Linked DNA regions of Lytechinus pictus. The main gene of each other region encodes a partner of the protein of the gene in region 2 in a complex. Links are inferred from orthologs where the notes say so. Each region holds a gene or a part of one and is shown on either strand. Other genes may lie near its edges.

Region 1 (9,066 bases), on a different chromosome or scaffold from region 2:
CATCTTCTAGGGATCCTACGGAAAGTTCTGGTTTACTGATGGAGTATTTCTGTAAATATTGGGATAAAATAGAATGTTTGAATTGTTTGAATTATTTTCCATCCAACATCATGAAGTTTGATTTTCTCACCCTGCTTTTAATAAGCAAAATACAATTAATAATTAATAATACTATGTTTAAGTAAAATATATTCTTTTTCTCTGACAGACAGTACATACATGTATAGTGTTGGTAGGGATGTAACTGTTCAGCACCTTTTGAAGCTATTGTCTTCATGAATTACACTGTTCAACTGCAAAACAAATTGGGAGACAGGCAATTTGGGATAATAATCTGTGCCCCCTCTCCGATTCCCCCAAATATTAAATCCTTGATCTCCCTGTGATTATTTTCAGAATTAAGCCCCGAGTTCAATTTTTCATGTGTGTTTTTTTTTTTTTTGGGGGGGGCAAACTGGAGGATTCTGGGCAATTACACAGATTTGTCTTCTTCAGGTCAATGAATATCACAAAGGAATGTTTTTATGTGCAAATACCTTCTTGATCATGATTTCATCTGTATGCATGGAGAGTTGAGATAGAGGAACACAAACTCCTTCAATCTTTGCAGCAATTGACTTCAGGTTGGTTTGATCAGGATCATTTAAAACAACCACTGCCACTGATGTGTCAGTTGATCCCATTGCAAAAACCTTGAAGGATTCACTGATCTGTAAACAATTAAGAGATCAATAAATATACTTGAATGATATGACAGTAGATCTTATTTGCAAATACTTAAGCGATATGTATAAGAATATTCAAGAATATTCTGCTTCTTACATAGCAGTAAATACTGTCCAAGTTTTAAATAATGTAGGCACTAACTTACATGATTATGTACTATCACCTTTTGCTATTGATGATTCATTAGGAGCAAAACCTAGCACTGATATGTCCCCATTGCAAAATTCTTGAAAGATAGATTCCTGAATGACATTTTAATTCTATATCCTTTGTAAGAAATATGCCTATCAACAAAGCAAAGTATGCAAACAAATTAATCAACTACGTTATTTTGTATTAATGTGTATACCATATTACTTTCAAACAAATTTAGCATTATTGGTGTAGTTTACTAACCCATTAGAAAAGCCTATTATATATATACGCCAATATCCAGTTAGAAGCCCCATAAAAGGAAGAAAATAAAAAAAATAAAAACATAACTAAATATGTTCTCTTCTACAATATTTTTTCATAATAATAAATAATTGATAAATAATGAATAGATGGAATAAATAACTTAGTAAATAAATTAATTACTTAAATAAATATATAATTATAAGCAATACTAGTAAACAATTTTAAATAAGTGAAATAGAGCAAATTAAAGTTGAAATCATTCTTTGAAAGAAAAAAAACCCAAAAGCTTACATTTGTGGATGGAGACAGGCTATAGATGATTTCAGAATTAACAGTCCTGGTTTTTGCATGGCCAGTGGCATGTGCATGGAGTGCCTTATTCACTGCTACCATTATCTGAAATGGGCTGACCAGCTGCATCAAGGGAGAAAAATACACTTTATGAATGTACATATATTTCATATCATTATTTAGATGCAGGGTTTTAGAGGCACAGATATTTTTTGACGTCTTGCGATGTTGTTTCAAAGAGACAAAATATTTTAAAACTGATTTTTAACGTGTATGCCTATGAAAACCATTCAATATTTTCCATATTGGATGAATGAATATTTTGCCCCGCCTACGAGATTATCATTGGTTAATAACCGATTGTGCGCATAAAGCTATTGTTACGTCACAATGATATTGCATTGCGCATTAGTTGCCAGGTGTGGCAAAGGAGCAAGATTGCGTCAATTTATTTAATTCAAATGCACTTGCACTATACGCTAGCGCATCTTTACACATATTTCTTTTAAGAAAATGACAATACTCTTTACAGTCGCCATGCTCATGATTTACAGGATTGACATCAAATGCTGAGTAACAACTTTTTTTTTTGCTTCATTAATTTATGCTTAGCTTTGTTGGGGTATCTAAATAATTATAATATTGGATGACCAATTTCCGTGGGATGCATAGAAATATTGTTACTTGCTGAAGAACAATATTTCTACACATCCCACTCAAGGCCATCCTCATCACTGATCTAAATAATCCCTCCCTAGGGAGAGATGGGTTGTGGATGGAGATAGGTGTATACACTGCCATCACACTTGACAAAGATTGGTTCTAATCACTGGTACAGGTTTTAAATAGAGATCGGCTTTGGACTGAGTGGAATTTTCGTCTTGAACTCCAATGTGTGATGTTCACCTAGGAAATGCAATCCTCTTTGACTTACATGTATACTTCATTATAGAATTCTAATCATACATATACTTCATACTATTTGTATATATTTAAAAAATTATCATGCCCAACTACATGTATGAATCATCTTGCTTTCAGAGACCATTGACCCAAGTGTTAAAAGTATTTTGTTTACATGCTATTATATCTTATTTCAAATTTTCTAATCATGTAATAAAATTCAATACAATCATATTTTACTAAAATTTGGAAATATTTGCAGATAAGTTCACCATTTTACTTTTTCATATTACTTTCTTATGCATAGCTTTACAGACATTTTAATCCAAATTAAACAAGTCACTCTCAATTTCCACCCCGACACTCTGGCCAGATTGATTCAGCTATTTACAATGGTGATCTACAATGTAGGGGGGGTGTAGGGGATTTTAGCCTACCCTCTTGGGCTGCCTAAAAAGGGGAGGGGATCAAACTCTAACACCCCTTTCCCTGCTGACGAGGGTTGTACAAACAGAACAGAGGGGATCTACGTACATGAGGAGGTTATTAGGATGTTACAGCTCATTGTCAATGGGTCAAACAATTTGGTCAAACCCTCATCTTAGCAAAAGTCGAGGGGAGGGGAGGGGAGGGGAGGGGAGGGGAGGGGAGGGGAGGGGAGGGGAGGGGAGGGGAGGGGAGGGGAGGGGAGGGGAGGGGAGGGGAGGGGAGGGGAGGGGAGGGGAGGGGAGGGGAGGGGAGGGGAGGGGAGGGGAGGGGAGGGGAGGGGAGGGGAGGGGAGGGGAGGGGAGGGGAGGGGAGGGGAGGGGAGGGGAGAGGAGAGGAGAGGAGAGGAGAGGAGAGGAGAGGAGAGGAGAGGAGAGGAGAGGAGAGGAGAGGAGAGGAGAGGAGAGGAGAGGAGAGGAGATAAATTATATAAAATGTACCGATACGCATGAACATCATAAAAAAAATGAATTATGAAATTGCATGAAATGGTGACCAGTTTTATTTCATGTATACACATCCTACATAGATTTTGTGATGTAACATAAACTTGAGAATCACTTAATGACTTATCTAACTTAGAATCTAACTTAGATGACATATGTGTTACAACATGTTCCTAATCTTAAGCCTACGATGTCGATGTCATGTCACAAACATTTTTAAAAATTTGTATTAGTCTGTTATGATGAACCTTCACCAATTTTCTGTTTTTAGTTCTACTCTACTACCGGTACAAACTCATTGACATTGTCATCATGCATTCATGGTCATGATTTTCAATGTCAAGATGAACTTCCTTTTTCAAGATTGATGTTAACAACAACAACATTAACACAGAAATACGGGGAACTCCCGCCCGGCTTCAGATAGCCATATCTAGCCTATAGTCTATACCAAATGCTTAAATATTATTAAGCTATTTAGTATAGCCGAGCGGTAGCTTAGCTAGCTTGCCGGCGCGGCCTGGCCGCCGTTGTCGATCGCATTTGCATCGGGAACGAGCGGGCAGCACCACCAGCACCTACCGGTACACACGTGCACAAGCTGCATGCGTGCTTTAAAGAAAAATGGCTTCTCACCTGACAAAACTGATCCGCTACGCCGGTGTGTTCACTGGTATAAATTCTAAGATTTTGACTACCAGGCAGCTGTTGGTACCTGTAGCTCGAACATTTAGCTCTCCTGCAGATGATCTCAAAGTCAGCTATTTGGATGATGGAGGTGTGTTTTACTATTAAGTGAGGCTAGTGGCGTGTCTGCTGCTGCCGACTGTATTGTAACCATGCTACCGGCTGGCCGACCTTTCCACCGTACCCGGCCGGCCGGCTGGCCTGGGCCCCGAATCATAGCCGTCGCTCACGCGCCGGGTTCGGACTTTGTGTGTGACTAGCCGGCTTGTGAATGATGGAGTCGATTGTGACTGGAGTGTGGGTGGGGCATGGCCATGGTCATATATGGGTGAATGCAATGCAATGCAGTGCAGTGGCATACAGGGCGGGGGGGGGGGGGGTATTCATAACTTTCCTCGTAAGTCCTCCCAAATAATGGAGCGCTAATCATGCTAATTGACCAAATTCGTATTCTGAATCTAAAATTACAGTCTACTACTACTAGTAGTAGTACTACTACTGTCTGAGATGAGGGGGAGCGATCACATCTGACTGTAGTATACTGTATGTACCGGTTCATGTTAACCTATTAGTATTAGAAGGGATACCTAGGCCTAGGGAAGTTTCTGAATGTAGGCATGTTATGCCTCTGTATTCAGTTCTAGGTTTTTCCTCCTCAAGATGGCTGGCTCACTTCCGGGAACAAGGCTTTCGTAGTCATATTTTATTGGCTCATTTTTCCAGGGCAGGGCAGCTTCAAAACTGTGCACACTTGGGGCAGTGACAACTTCATTATTTAGGCTATTCCATGTCTTACGTATTCTAACATAAAAAGAATTCCTATATTTCTGGGTCTTTGTCCTTGGTATGAACAATTGTTTACTGTGACCTCTGGTATGGACACTAACTTCTTCTTCCGTTGAGTACAGTCCTCTTTACAGAGCTATAGTAGTACTAACGTTAGTAGTAGGACACTCGCACGTATTGCGAGGTTAGTATTAGTATACTAACCTCGCACCACGAACCGCGTTTGGCAGTGGATTTCTAACTAGTGGGTCGCGTGTGCTGGGATCTCACTTCTAGGGTCCACAACCAGTAGAGGCGCACGGCCAATATGGGAGACTCTCTCCAATAGGGGAGACAATCTCCCACATTGGAGACTTGCTTTGCAAAAGGACAAAAGAAACAACACCAACAAAAGCATGATTTTTTCCACCCAAAATTTTGTCTCACTGAGGTCAGAAGCCCATTTGTTTTGTGTGTGATTGACAACAAAAATCCTTATCAAAACAAAAGTAGACGGTGAATTTTTAAAGGAGACGGTGAAAAGGGGTAATTTTTCATGAGGAATCTGCTTATCACATTTTTATTTGCCGCCAAGGTAATCCTTTTGCAGCAAATGTAAACAAAGGAAATTGGTCTCCAAAACTGGAGACTGTCTCTGAAATTGGATACCCAAATTCTTTACAAAAGTCTCTGATATTGGAGATATCTCCCACATTGGAGACAGTCTCCAATATTGGCCGTGCGCCTCTACTGACAACACACGACTTCTATGGCTTGATTTTTCTGTGCGCGGCGGCATGTAATGAACCCTTGGGTGGTAGTAGGACAGTGTTTCCAGACCACAGATCTAACAACAGTTAAAACAAATTTCCCGAAACTAAATCCCAAATTTCCTGAAATTCATAGACATTTCCTGGAATTTTCAAGTTAGATTTTTAACAAAAATTATTTTAAAAATCTGGCAATAATACAGCACGCCTAAAGTTGGTCCAAGTGACCAAAATTAATCAAAGAATCTAACTTTAATTAGGGTCTACGTGCGGGGGGGGGCACTTCCATTGACAAGTGGATATCAGGCACGACCATGGGGTTTCGAAAAGTACTCTAAAGGGCCGTCTGCACCATCCCGAGTTTTCAAATTAGCGCGCTATTTCTGATCCGGCAAATTATCCCGATCTGAAAAATCTCGAGATTGTTTGCAGTGGAGACGCAATTATCGCGCTAGTTCGTAGGATTAATCTCGAGATTGCAATCCCAAGTCAACTCGGGTTTATTTGCAAAATAGCGCGCTATTTTACGAATTATCCCGCTAATTCGAAGGTGCAGACGCACTCGAGATTGGACTCGGGGTAATTTATTCATGACGTCAGTCCATAATGCAATTCGCGTTCCACTTCCGCCTTGGTCAAAACAAAAACACGTGCGAAAGTCTATTTTATACACGCGAATAGACATTATCGCGAATAGCGTTCATCAATTCCCCAATCAGCAACGATGGTGTCCCAACAGTGAATGGATTTTGGGAGAGACCAGACCTATGGATATGGGGGAGGCGCTCATTTATCGACGATGTTCATAGTCGATAACAACACTGACAGCAGTGTCGTCTTAATGGCCTTTGCAAAATGTGAGCAAATAGCATTCTTTCCTCCTCCTTTTCTCTCTCCCTCTCTCTCTCTGTCGTTGCCTCCTTCTCCGCCATCATATTAAACGAAGAATACATCACTTCTTCACTCGCTGAGCGCGGCTGACGGAGCTGAGAGGATTGTTGCATAACACTTGTCGAATTCGGCGAAAGTGCTAGAGAAAGGAGTAGCCTACATGTATTTGATTGCATATCGCGGGAAGTTATTCAAAAGCGCGGGCCGTTGAAACTCCAAGATCCGAAAGTGCGCATGCTCGGAATATTGGGCTTGTTGCCTCGCTCGAGCAGGAATCGCTCTTCTTGCGATGGTGGAGACGGGGTTTCTTGAATCTCGAGATTAATCGCGAAGAGGGCCGATCGGGCTAAAATCTCGAGATTGAGCAAACTCGGGATGGTGCAGCACCGCCTTAAATGAGTAATTAATTTGAAAATGCACTTAATTATTAGGCTTGTATTAGAAAAAAAAGTTACCCTTGATCCCTAAAGTGTACACCTCAACAAGTAGATTTAGGTCTACAGCGATATTTAAATTGTTATGTCACAGACGTCAGCATTTTCCTTTATTTACATAAGTTATATTGGGTTTGGTACCGCTCCACCTCGCTCAAATCGGACACGACAAAGTGTTGGGGCGAAAAGTAGGCCGGCCTACATATATAAATTCCCTCCCAAATTTGACCGTAAACATGTAGCTTTCCTAGCGAAGTATATACCCTTTTTTCAGTATTTTAGTGTTTTTGACACCCTTATTACGTACGTAACGTGCCCAGTCTTGAAAAAGAGATCCTTTTGATGCACTTCTTTGGTCGTGCCTGGTATATATATCCACTCTACAATGGAAGTGGCCTCCACCCCCCCCCCCCCCCCCCGGGTCTACATCTCGAATACTAACTTGTTAGATCTATCTAGATTAAATCTATCTATCGCCATGTTAAATTCGTAAGAACTAGAAGTATTCTATCAGTTTTCATTTCTAGAAACACTTTTTTTTTAAAATAAAAATGACTTATCGCGAAACTTAGTATTACCTCATTAAAAATCATTGTATATAACTTATGATCGTATACTTTGAGGTCCATATTAACAATAATCCATTTTATTACAGAGTCAGAGATCATCTTGTTGCTTGTATAGATCTATCTAGAATATATATTCCTGAAAAAATATGAATAAAAATACTTGAGCACCTTATAATATTCACAAGATCCGACTTCCAGGTTATATTTTCTCTCATCGCTAATTGTTGTCACAATTTTTTTTACTTGAATTATAACATAATACCTATGTGCTGCGCCAAAGTCGAAAATATGGGGCTTTGGAACTAAATCTTGGTCTAAAAACGGGGGTCTCCTGAACGGCTCTTGGATCAACGATTGCTAAAAATGCAATTCTCTGGAACTGACCACATAACATAAAGAAGGGGGGGTCTCCAGAATTCTTTTGATCGTAGGTGTAATTGATAACGTCTATGTAAAAAAATGTGCGAGCGTCTTGCTAGATTCATGTCGGGCTAGAACAAGCTAGCTGCGGGCGTGCGGGGAGCTTCGGGAGCCCGCCGCTATGGCTCTGCACCGATCGAGCTTGCCGCTCCGACAGGCTCAATAGATTTCATGAAGGGCGTGCATTGAAATGAGAAATCACAAATTTGAGGGTCTCCGGAGCGGGAAAAAATAGGAATATCTGTGGCTTTCTGAATTGATGCTCTAGACCAGAAATTTAGGCTGAAAATGGGGGTTTCAATCGTAGCACATAGATATACATTTATACTAAGTACGCCCCCCCCCCTCGGATATTTGCCAAACCCTTATACTAAGAAAGTATTAAATTTTTTTGGGAAAATTGAAGAATATTTTTTCTACTTTCCATTTGGCCTGTATGACCAATAATTTTTTTTTTCTAATTTCAAACCTCTAGGTAGGCTATACCCATTTTGTCTTCTTGGTCTTTAAAGGACAAGTCCACCCAAACAAAAAGTTGATTTGAATAAAAAGAGAAAAATCCAATTAGCATAACACTGAAAATTTCATCAAAATCGGATGTAAAATAAGAAAGTTATGACATTTTAAAGTTTTGCTTAATTTCACAAAACAGTTATATGCACATCCTGGTGGGTATGCAAATGAGACTGATGACGTCATCCACTCACTATTTCTTTTATATTTTATCATATGAAATACGGAATATTCTATTTTTCTCCTCATTGTCAAGTGAAACAAAGATTAATTCCTCCCTGAACATGTGGAATGAGCATTGTTTTATACTATATGATTCAGTCAAGCTGGTCCTTATTGTCAAATCTATAAAAAATGAAATATATAATTCAAACAATAAAAAACAAAAGAAATAGTGAGTGAGGGACATCATCGACTGTCTCATTTGAGTTGTGCATATCACTGGTTTGTGAAAAATAAGCAAAACTTTAAAATGTCATAACTTTCTTATTTTACATCCGATTTCGATGAAATTTTCAGTGTTTTGCTCGTTTGATTTTTCTCTATTTATTCAAATCAGCATTTTTCTTGGGTGGACTTGACCTTTAAACCAGGGTTGTTTGATTTAAATCATGTCGATTTAAATCATGATTTAAATCGCGATTTAAATCACTTGATTTTTTTTCAAAAAAATCACTGATTTAAATTAACTTTTATGAAAAAAATTAGTTTTCTCTATTTTCTCTTCTTCTTAACAGATACTTTCAATGTAATCATTTTCATTTCT
Region 2 (9,413 bases):
ACTAATGTTTTTACTCATTTCGCAGTTCAGGATTACACTACATCTGCTACTTTGATCTGTTTGAATCCATTAATGTCATGCTTCCTAAAGATGGAGGTCTCCCACATTCCAAAATGTATTATATCGATATATTTATATATACTTTTTTTTCTATTTGTTTTAATAATTTAGAAAAAATGAAATTTATCAGGTATAACTATATTTCAAGTAGATTGTTAGAATGATTGTATGCATATGTTATTCATTATGACATTTGCTTATCATGTTATGCTGAGAAAAAATTATTGTAGCATTATGTAGCATTATTGTATTTGTCTTGGATACTGAACTTTATTTCAAAGCATCACTTTATCAAATTGAGATTAATATCATACATGTAGTTTCATCAGTTAAAAGATCCATTGTCAGATTACCAGAGGATTTTAAATTTCCATCTTTTACTACCATATGATATTTCAGAGAACTTGAACTTTATAATGTTTACTTTGAAAATTACCAATAACATATAGCTGATGATTGCAATATTGTCTTTTTGTGAACAGAGAATGATGATTTATTAACACATATGGAAGCGCCATGGTGTAGCGGTTTTGACTCTCGCCTTGTAATCAGAGGGTCATGTGTTCGAATCCCACCATGGCCTAGTGTCCTTTGGCAAGGCGTCAATCCACAATTTGCCACTCTCCACCCAGGTGTTAAATGGGTATCCGGTAGGATTCGAAAGCCTATATAGTATGCCTAGCAATTGAGTCTTGGAACTCTTGCTGGAATGCTCCCAAGGGAGTGGAGAAGGTGCATACATTGTATGCAAGCATGCAAGGATCCGATGACCGAGGTAATTATCTGTAAAGCGCTTAGAGACGTCGTTCTGATGTGTTAAGCGCTCTATAAATGCGGAATATTATTATTATTATTACATAAATGAGCAAATAAATGCTTACCTTTTGTATAACAGACACAATCAATATCCTTTGGGGTTAGTTTAGCTTCGTCTAAAGCCCTAAAATAAAATAAAAATAACAGAAAATATAATGACAATTCAACAATCAATAATTTCTTCTTAGAATGAAAATTTTTGCTCACTTTAATTCTAGGTGATATTCACAAACTTACATACAGATTTTATTATTTTTTTCCTAAAAAAATAAACCAAAAAAATGGGGGACATACAGGGGTGCAAAATGCTTTTACTCTTTCATCTTAAAAGGAATTTGAACATTTACTCATGGTCATGGAGTTTGCTAATATATGAAGACAGAATTGATAATAATAAATACAGAGGCAATCAAATTTTGTCTGTCACAAATATTTTTATTCCTTTTTTGAATACCCCAATAAGTGATAATTACCTTCTCAAAATAGACATGATATGCTGTTGATGGTGCCTGGCAGTATCTCGAGGTTGGAAACCTGAAAAGAAAATGGAAATAAAAATGAGAGTGTAAATTCATTAGTAATTATGAACATAATTTCATGTTATAAAATATAGTACTGTATATCTTATTGTTTTACTGGTTCATAATGTAGAATTTATTTTGTTTTTTTTACCAGCTAAATAAGGAGAGCTTTTACATTTTACAGAAACTCAACTTCTTTTTGTAATATCCACAGGCATTCATTTCTTTGTGTACTTAAATCGTTAAAACAATAACTTTTCGGTCAGCAGAAATCTGCTGAAATTTTGATCATACTATATGAAATTTAATGATATCACCAAGGAAATCTTTTATCGTTGCAAAAATCAAGGGCTTTATGAAAAAGGTTTGTGATTTGGGACCTGTAACATTGGTTAGTGATCTGAGGACATCCTTGGTTTGATTTGTGTACTTGTTTTAAAATGTGAAATTTGTGTGTGCATCCTCGGTTGGCAATGTGGCTAAGCACACCCACACACACACATACATTGTAAGCAATCATCCATAAGAAATGTCTTAGTGGGGTGTTGCAAGAAAATATTTGCAATCAATTGCAAATATTCTTTTGCAATTCTAAAACTGACAGATCAATTTTAACTGTAGCAAATCAGATTACACTCCTTGTTTCAAGAAAAGCAGATTACCAATCAATTGCAAATTCGCAATTAATTTCAAGACCTATGACTGACTTAGGGAATGAAAATAGACTGGCAATTGATTGCAAGTTAAAGCATATCACTGAATAAAGAGGTTTGTTTACCTTCACCAGGTGGAGTGATATAGGTGTGTCTGGGATTAGATAAGACTTCTCCATCTTTGACGATTCCTATACCAAGCTTGTTAGCACTGCCTTCAAAACCTATCACAGTAGGCATTGTCGGATATTATACTAATCTGAAATAGATTGAAAAAGAAGGCAAAGAAAACCACTAATTATTTATATATCATGTTGTCTAATTGAATTCTTGTAACCTTCAGATAGCAATGCTATTTGACTGCAAGAAAGAAAATTAAGTCTAATTCATAAATCACTCGTTAAGCCTCTGTGTAAATCTCAATTCTCAATAACAGATAAAATAATAAGAGAAAAAATAAAAGATTGACTATATATCAAACTTTGAACAGAGGTCCAGTATTAAAAAAAAAAGGTCAATAGACAGTTAAGCTGTATTGCATATTTATACTTGATCATCGATATCAGCATGTGTCATAGAAGTTAAGATCCATTATGGGTTAAGGACTATGATAAATGGATTCAAGCAATAAAGTTGACAGCTCTACACAAATTTGGCAAAGTGTCTAGTACAGTGTTTTTGTGATCACATGTTCCAAACAGCAACGCCAATGGCAAATGCTTTTAAATTAGACTAAAACAAAAAATCGACTTGGCGATATATGTAATTGAAAGGAAAACTTCAAAATTGGTGGTCAAGCGCACATAGGCATAGCAAATTATGTCAACTGCGATAAATGCATCCAACGACAATACTCATTAGTGCAAGTGGATGAGTGGATTATGATTCGGGGTAAAAACAAAACAATACACAGACAGGAATACAATAGATATTTTTAAACCGAAAGATTTAATCTGTGAATGTGACGACTTTCACTCCTTTCTGAGTTTAGGGATGGAAAGATGAATGAATTATATTCCTTGTCTCGTCTTTCCATTAATGCCGAAATGCCCACAATCATCTATTATCTTGTGGCAACTGAACTTGAATTTAACTGATCATGCTCATTCCGAAGATCAGGCAGTAAGTTGTGATTTTGATGTTCAGTTTACTCCATTTTTCCTTTTCCAACTTCAAAGGAGATCGGAGAGATAGGGGCCTACATGGATTATTTCTTCCAGGAATTCATTCTGTCAGGTAGATTTAAAATAATTTTGCACCTAGCCCTAAATATCAAAACAATTGAACAATCGATCGTGCATTCATCACGACTGTTACTTTAGTTTAGTGTTAAATGAGTTTTGTAACTTTTGTTCACGACTTTTCCTCCATTTTATTTCCCTTTTCTTCCCTATCATCATGGTCCTGGACCACTAGGACTAGGTCCATGCTATAATTAAATCATAATATTGCCAGCAGCACCTCAAAGCAATCCTAAAAACACCTTCCAAATGATTCGAGTCGAAATGTCCTATTCTTCTTGTCTTGACTCTAATCAATAAATTAGTGTGTCTATTATTACGTTACTCGTTAGTTCTCTCTCACTGACATCATCTGAATGATGTGGGACTGAGCCTGAGCTGAGGTAAAAACTACTAACTTTTTACAAATATTCAAATTGAAGTCGGCATAAAGATAAAGGCTGGCAAAATTTGATGAAAATGAATAAAATTTCCATATTTAGCCCATATTTTTAATAAATGGCTTCAAATCATGCATTCCAGATGTTTTCATTGCCTACTCACTCACTATGTCACGGAAAATTAACAAAATTTTCGGTAGAACTAGAACAGGTACCGGTACAGCAGCATGCAGGGAAAGGTAGAAAACACACTCACAGTGTCGCCGAAGCGTCCAATAAAAAAATACAAAAACAAAGAAAAGAAAAGAATCGGTGGATAATTAATTCAGTATGAAGACTGAAGATGTGAACGGATCATGAACGTTTGTCAGTAATTTTCAAGGACCATTTTGCCCTTAGGCTTAGCCAATCATATGCAAGGTTAATTAAATGTTTTGTTCTGATATGGAATCCTATAAAGGGCAAACAAAATATGCGAAAGCATTATATTATGATGAGAAAGTGGCCTTCTGTTCCTAGAGCATGATAAATCTTAGAAACATTTTTACTAGGCCTATATCCTTTTGGCGAAAGCAAGCCTCTACTTGCTTTAGCTGCATTTTATGAAAAAAAAATTAACGGATTCCCCCCCCCCCTCAATTTTGGTCCTTTTGACAACAAACCTTATTTAGGCCCATCTAGCGTTCATTGGAATTGACCATGTTAAAGCTCCTCGAACTATTTTTTCGAATTTTAAATTGGCCCAGCAAATCCAAATTCAATACTTTTAGCCCCATTTCTAATTTGTATAATTTAGTACATGGATCCCTAGAATAATTCAATTTTTAAAAGTATCCCTCTGTCAAAAAATGAGGGACAAACTAAAATATTGATAATTATCAAACAAGTAATCTCCCTGTTTTCAAAATTGTGGATAAAATCAAATATGCGACAATTATACCTTCTTAGCAGATAATGGCTTTCTAACTTTTTTTTGCTTTAGGGAAAAACTTAGTACAGTTCATACGTTCTGATATTTCATGCTATTGACAAAATCATCTCACATGGTTTGTGTATATCAGTTTTTTTTTGTTTCCCAATTATTTGACACTATGGTAAAAGTTTCAGGAATAGGCCTCTCTGAAAGAAACAATTTGTTTTCCTCAACAAACATTCATCTTATACTTATCATTGTCATGATTGTACTACAGGTACTTTGGGACCCCTCATGCAGGCTGTATTGTATTTCATTCAATATTTCCTTCGGCAATATTTTAAATTATTTTTCTGCTATTTTGACAATAGACTTTTTATCAGGGTGAACTTCCCCTTTAAAGGGCTACTCCGGGTTGAAAATGTTTATATCTGTATAAATAGAGTAAAATTCACAGATTGAGTAAAATGCTGAAAATTTCATCTAAATCGGATAACAAATAACAAAGTTATTGAATTTTAACTAAAGTTAAGCAATATTCTGTGAAAACAGTTACATTCACTTCGTAATGAATATTAATCTGGTATATTAGGCTTATTATGATGTCGCATCCCCACTTTTCTTTTTCGTATGTTATTACGTGAAATCATAATTGGGTCATTTTTCATACATGTGTAAATGATATGTCTCCCTTGTAATGAATGCACTTAATCAGTTATCAATCCATTTTTTTTTAGTTCTAGGTAGAAAATATTTGAATAAACTTAATTTTATATAATAAAATACAAAAGAACAAGTAGGGTTACAGGGGCGGATCCAGCCTCCGCCAATAGGGGGGGCCCGAAAAAATTTTCACCCATATTTTCCCCGGTCGGCTGCTCAAAGTTGATTTTTGGTTGTTTCTTTGAAGGGGTTGTCCCAGTGGCGTAATGAGCCAAAAACAATTGAGGGGGCTTGATATGGCGTTTCGCGTAACATTAATAAGAAATTACGAGCGAGCGAAGCGAGCGAGCAAAAATTTTGACATATTTATTACAAAAATCCAAGTTTGTGATAGATTTTGACATAATACTTGAAAAATAATATTATATTTCACCCTTATCCCTTTCCTTTTTTCTTGGTCGTGATTTTTTTTTTTTTTTTTTTTTTTTGGGGGGGGGGGACATAAACGCCCATGTCCTAGCAAAAATGTCACTGCTTTATTCTTACAAACAACATAAATGTGTAATAATTTCATATAAGCCCTATTTAAATAGTGTGAGCGCGACGTGCGAGCTAAACAGTTTTGAAATTGCATGTATTTTGTCCTGAAAATTGAACATTCTGGGCAATGTTTGTGAACCTGAACAAGATGAGTATGTAACTAGATAATTACTGCGAGCGCGAAGCGAGAGCAGAAATTTTTATAATGCGTTCTGGTCTTGTCGAATAGGGACCTGTTAAGAACGTTTTGCAGTTAGCCATTAAGACGATACATATTTCAATGATTAAATAATGAAAGCGCGAAGCGCGAGCTGACAATTATTTGACGTTCCGTCCTAAAAAATTAACGTTCTATGCACTTTTTGTAATCATGAACAGTATACCAAACAATTGATGCGAGCGCGCACAGCGCGAGCAGCAAAAAAATGAGATTTCAAACCTAAAAACGGGACACTCTCTTCATGTTTTGTAAATCATTAAAAAATTGGGTATAATTTGGTATCTTCCTACATTAATAATGCGAGCGCAAAGCGTGAGCAAATTTTTTTTTATATTCTGATCTGAAACTGGCTATATAGGCTCATAATGATTTAAATAGAGAACAAGCTGCGTATCTGAATAAACATGCGTGCGCGTCATTCAGATTTTGAGCTAGAATCTGGGCATTCTAAATACCTTTTTTCATCATGAAAATCAATAAAGCGAGCGCGAAGCGCGAGCTTAAAATGTTTGATATTCCGATCTGAAAAAAGGTCAATTTAAGCTCTGTATTTCAAGTACTTTGTAGGAAAATTGTGAGGTGGATATGAATCATAGTTGAAAAAAAAATTACTTTGAGTTTTGACATAGGAAAGGGCCATTCTCAGAACATTATGTCATCATATGAAAATGATGACTATCTTCCTATTTCTTTTCCTCAGCGGGAGATGAAACTTGTCGATATTCCATTCTAAAAAGGGTCAATTTGATTATTGAATTAATATCTTATTTATTAATCTAATAAGCCTAATGGGAGCGAGAAATCTGTTAATTCATTATGGCCTGTAAACTGGACATTTAAAGCACTTTTGTAATTATGAATAAGATGCATGAGTTTAAATATTTTCAACAATCAATGCGAGCGCAAATTTCGAGCCGAAATATTTGATAAACTGTCATGAAATGGGGATTTTAAGTAGCTTATTTTAGAATTAATATTGAAATATACATATCAAATCACCAATCAAAATGCGAGCGTGCAGTGCTAGCTGTTACGTTTTGACATTTTGACATAAATAGGGATATTAGAGAACTTTATGGAATACAGGAAAATAATTGGTACCTGACAAATCAAATTTAGAAAATGTAAATATTCAGAAGACAAACCATAACTCTTTACAGAGCACTTTTAAAAAATAAATTTTTAAATCAAACAAAATAATGAAAGTTCGATTTCCGAGCTGAAATATTTATATTGATTTCAAATTTTGATACTTAAGCTCCGCATGAAGCAAGATATTTAAATTACCTAAAAGTCAATGCGAGCGCGAAGCGCGAGCGAAAATTTTATACTGTATAGTGACATGAAATATTTTCAAAATTATTTCCCAAGTCTTCCCCTCATCTTATTTTATTCACTCGTCTTCCTCCTTTTATGTTTCCCCTTCTTCTTTTTCTCCTCTCTTTTCCCTTTTTTTTAATTTTTTTATTTCTTCCCCCTTTTTTATTTTTTTGCTCCGCCAATGGGGGGGGGGGGGGGGGGGGCGGGCCCCTCGGGCCCCCCTGAATCCGCCTATGGGGTTATGACATCATCACTCAGTTTGCTCATTGGATGTTCTTGAAGACATGCCTATAGAACTGTTTCACCGGAATAATGCAAATCTTTAAAATGCCATATAGCCCCGCATATAGCTTTGTTATTCTTTTCTGATTTTGATCAAATTTTCACTGTTTTGTTTGTCTGATTTTTTTTGTATGTTCAAATCATATACAGCATGGAGCATCCCTTTAATCTATTAATGTGCCATAAGTGTGTAATGTGTAATATGTGTAATAAGTATAGGCACTGATATCTATTCGTTGCACACTCTTTCTTTGTTTTTCTCTCGTTCTGTTTTCTTTTCTTCCTCCTATTATTTCTTTCTTTCTTTCTTTTTTATGCTCTTTCTCTTGATATTTTCTTTTTCTCTTTGCTTTTTTCAATTCAATTCATTTCATTTCCATTCAAATGTAATATAAATCGGACCATTTGTTTTGTTGTACACTCTGAGGCCTCCGTCAATTTCAAGCTCTAAGCTTATGATGGAGGTCTCCCACATTTCAAAATGTATTATGTCGATATAATATATATTTTTCTGCTATTTGTCTTAATGATTAGAAAAAAATCTTAGGTAATATTATATTTTAATTAGATCGTTAGAATAAGTATGTATATTTTATTCATTATGTCATTTGCTTATTGTTATGTTATGCTGAGAAAAAATGATTACACTTGTATACTTTTTGTTATTGGAATGTGAAAAAAAATAAATCAAATCAAATCAAATCAAATATGCTCCCTAATTTACCGGAAGGGTAATTACCCATTCGGCGTCACGACGTGGTCGTTTTGTCCCTACAAGATTTTTATGTTTAAAGGTCAAGTCCACCCCAGAAAAATGTTGATTTGAATAAATAGAGAAAAATCAAACTAGCATAACGCTGAAAAGTTCATCAAAATCGGATGTCCAATAAGAAAGTTATGATATTTTAAAGTTTTGCTTATTTTTCACAAAACAGTGATATGCACAACTCAGTGACATGTAAATGAGATAGTTCATGATGTCCCTCACTCACTATTTCTTTTGTTTTTTATTGTGTAAATCATACAAAATTCAATACAAAATTCACTTTTGTACAGATTTGACAATAAGGATCAACTTGACTGAACCATATAGCATAAAGCTAGTTCCACATGTTCAGGGAGGAATTGATAGTTGTTTCACTTGACAATGAGGAGAAAATTAGAATATTTCATATTTCATATATTAAAGTACATAAGAAATAGTGAGTGGATGACGTCAGCAGTCTCTTCACTTGCATACCGACCAGGATATAACTTTTTTGTGAAATTACGCGAAACTTTAAACTGTCATAACTTTCTTATTTTACATCCGACTTTGATGAAATTTTCAGTGTTTAGCTTGTTGGATTTTTCTCTTTTTATTCAAATCAACTATTTGTTGGGGTGGACTTAATTGTAAGTTAACTAAGTTTCACAGAGGGGGATGCACGGCCGTTTGGGCACGGCCTCTTTCTTTGACTCTCGATGTTAAATAAACATTTGAAAGGTTGGAGGTGATGTGACAACATTTTCCAGATGTTATTATCCAACCTTGAATTGTTTTGGGTGGTAAATGCAACATTTATGAAAGGTTGTCGATAGCTCCTCCAACCTTTCAAATGATGATTTAACATTTCATTTTTAGAGTGTTGATCTCTTTTTCTCCTTTTCCTTTTCCCTTCCCTTTTCGGGCCCCGAGTGTATATATCCTTATCTTCCATAAACTAGAAAATACTTACGTCACTTTTAGGTCGTCCTGACTCCCGAAAAATCCGACCCGCTTTCAGAGATTAAACCCCAAATATATGTTATATATGTTTAAAAC

What was found.
Region 1: probable tRNA N6-adenosine threonylcarbamoyltransferase (region 2) and EKC/KEOPS complex subunit TPRKB-like share a complex: the UniProt entries of both Homo sapiens proteins name them as parts of the EKC/KEOPS complex. The link is inferred for Lytechinus pictus from reciprocal best matches to the Homo sapiens genes OSGEP and TPRKB.

Annotation. Positions count from the first base shown.
Region 1 is NC_087247.1:45,963,422-45,972,487, reverse strand, and holds the start of EKC/KEOPS complex subunit TPRKB-like, read right to left. Parts: upstream 3,799-9,066; 5' UTR 3,543-3,798; exon of another isoform or gene 3,525-3,542; intron 1,694-3,524; 5' UTR 1,588-1,693; coding exon 1,417-1,587; intron 711-1,416; coding exon 537-710; intron 50-536; coding exon 1-49. Other genes in the region: methylglutaconyl-CoA hydratase, mitochondrial-like, read left to right, coding at 3,876-4,029. UniProt on the Homo sapiens protein: Component of the EKC/KEOPS complex that is required for the formation of a threonylcarbamoyl group on adenosine at position 37 (t(6)A37) in tRNAs that read codons beginning with adenine.
Region 2 is NC_087246.1:47,017,723-47,027,135, forward strand, and holds the start of probable tRNA N6-adenosine threonylcarbamoyltransferase, read right to left. Parts: upstream 4,069-9,413; 5' UTR 3,839-4,068; exon of another isoform or gene 3,690-3,838; intron 2,310-3,689; 5' UTR 2,291-2,309; coding exon 2,176-2,290; intron 1,411-2,175; coding exon 1,350-1,410; intron 1,001-1,349; coding exon 942-1,000; intron 1-941. UniProt on the Homo sapiens protein: Component of the EKC/KEOPS complex that is required for the formation of a threonylcarbamoyl group on adenosine at position 37 (t(6)A37) in tRNAs that read codons beginning with adenine.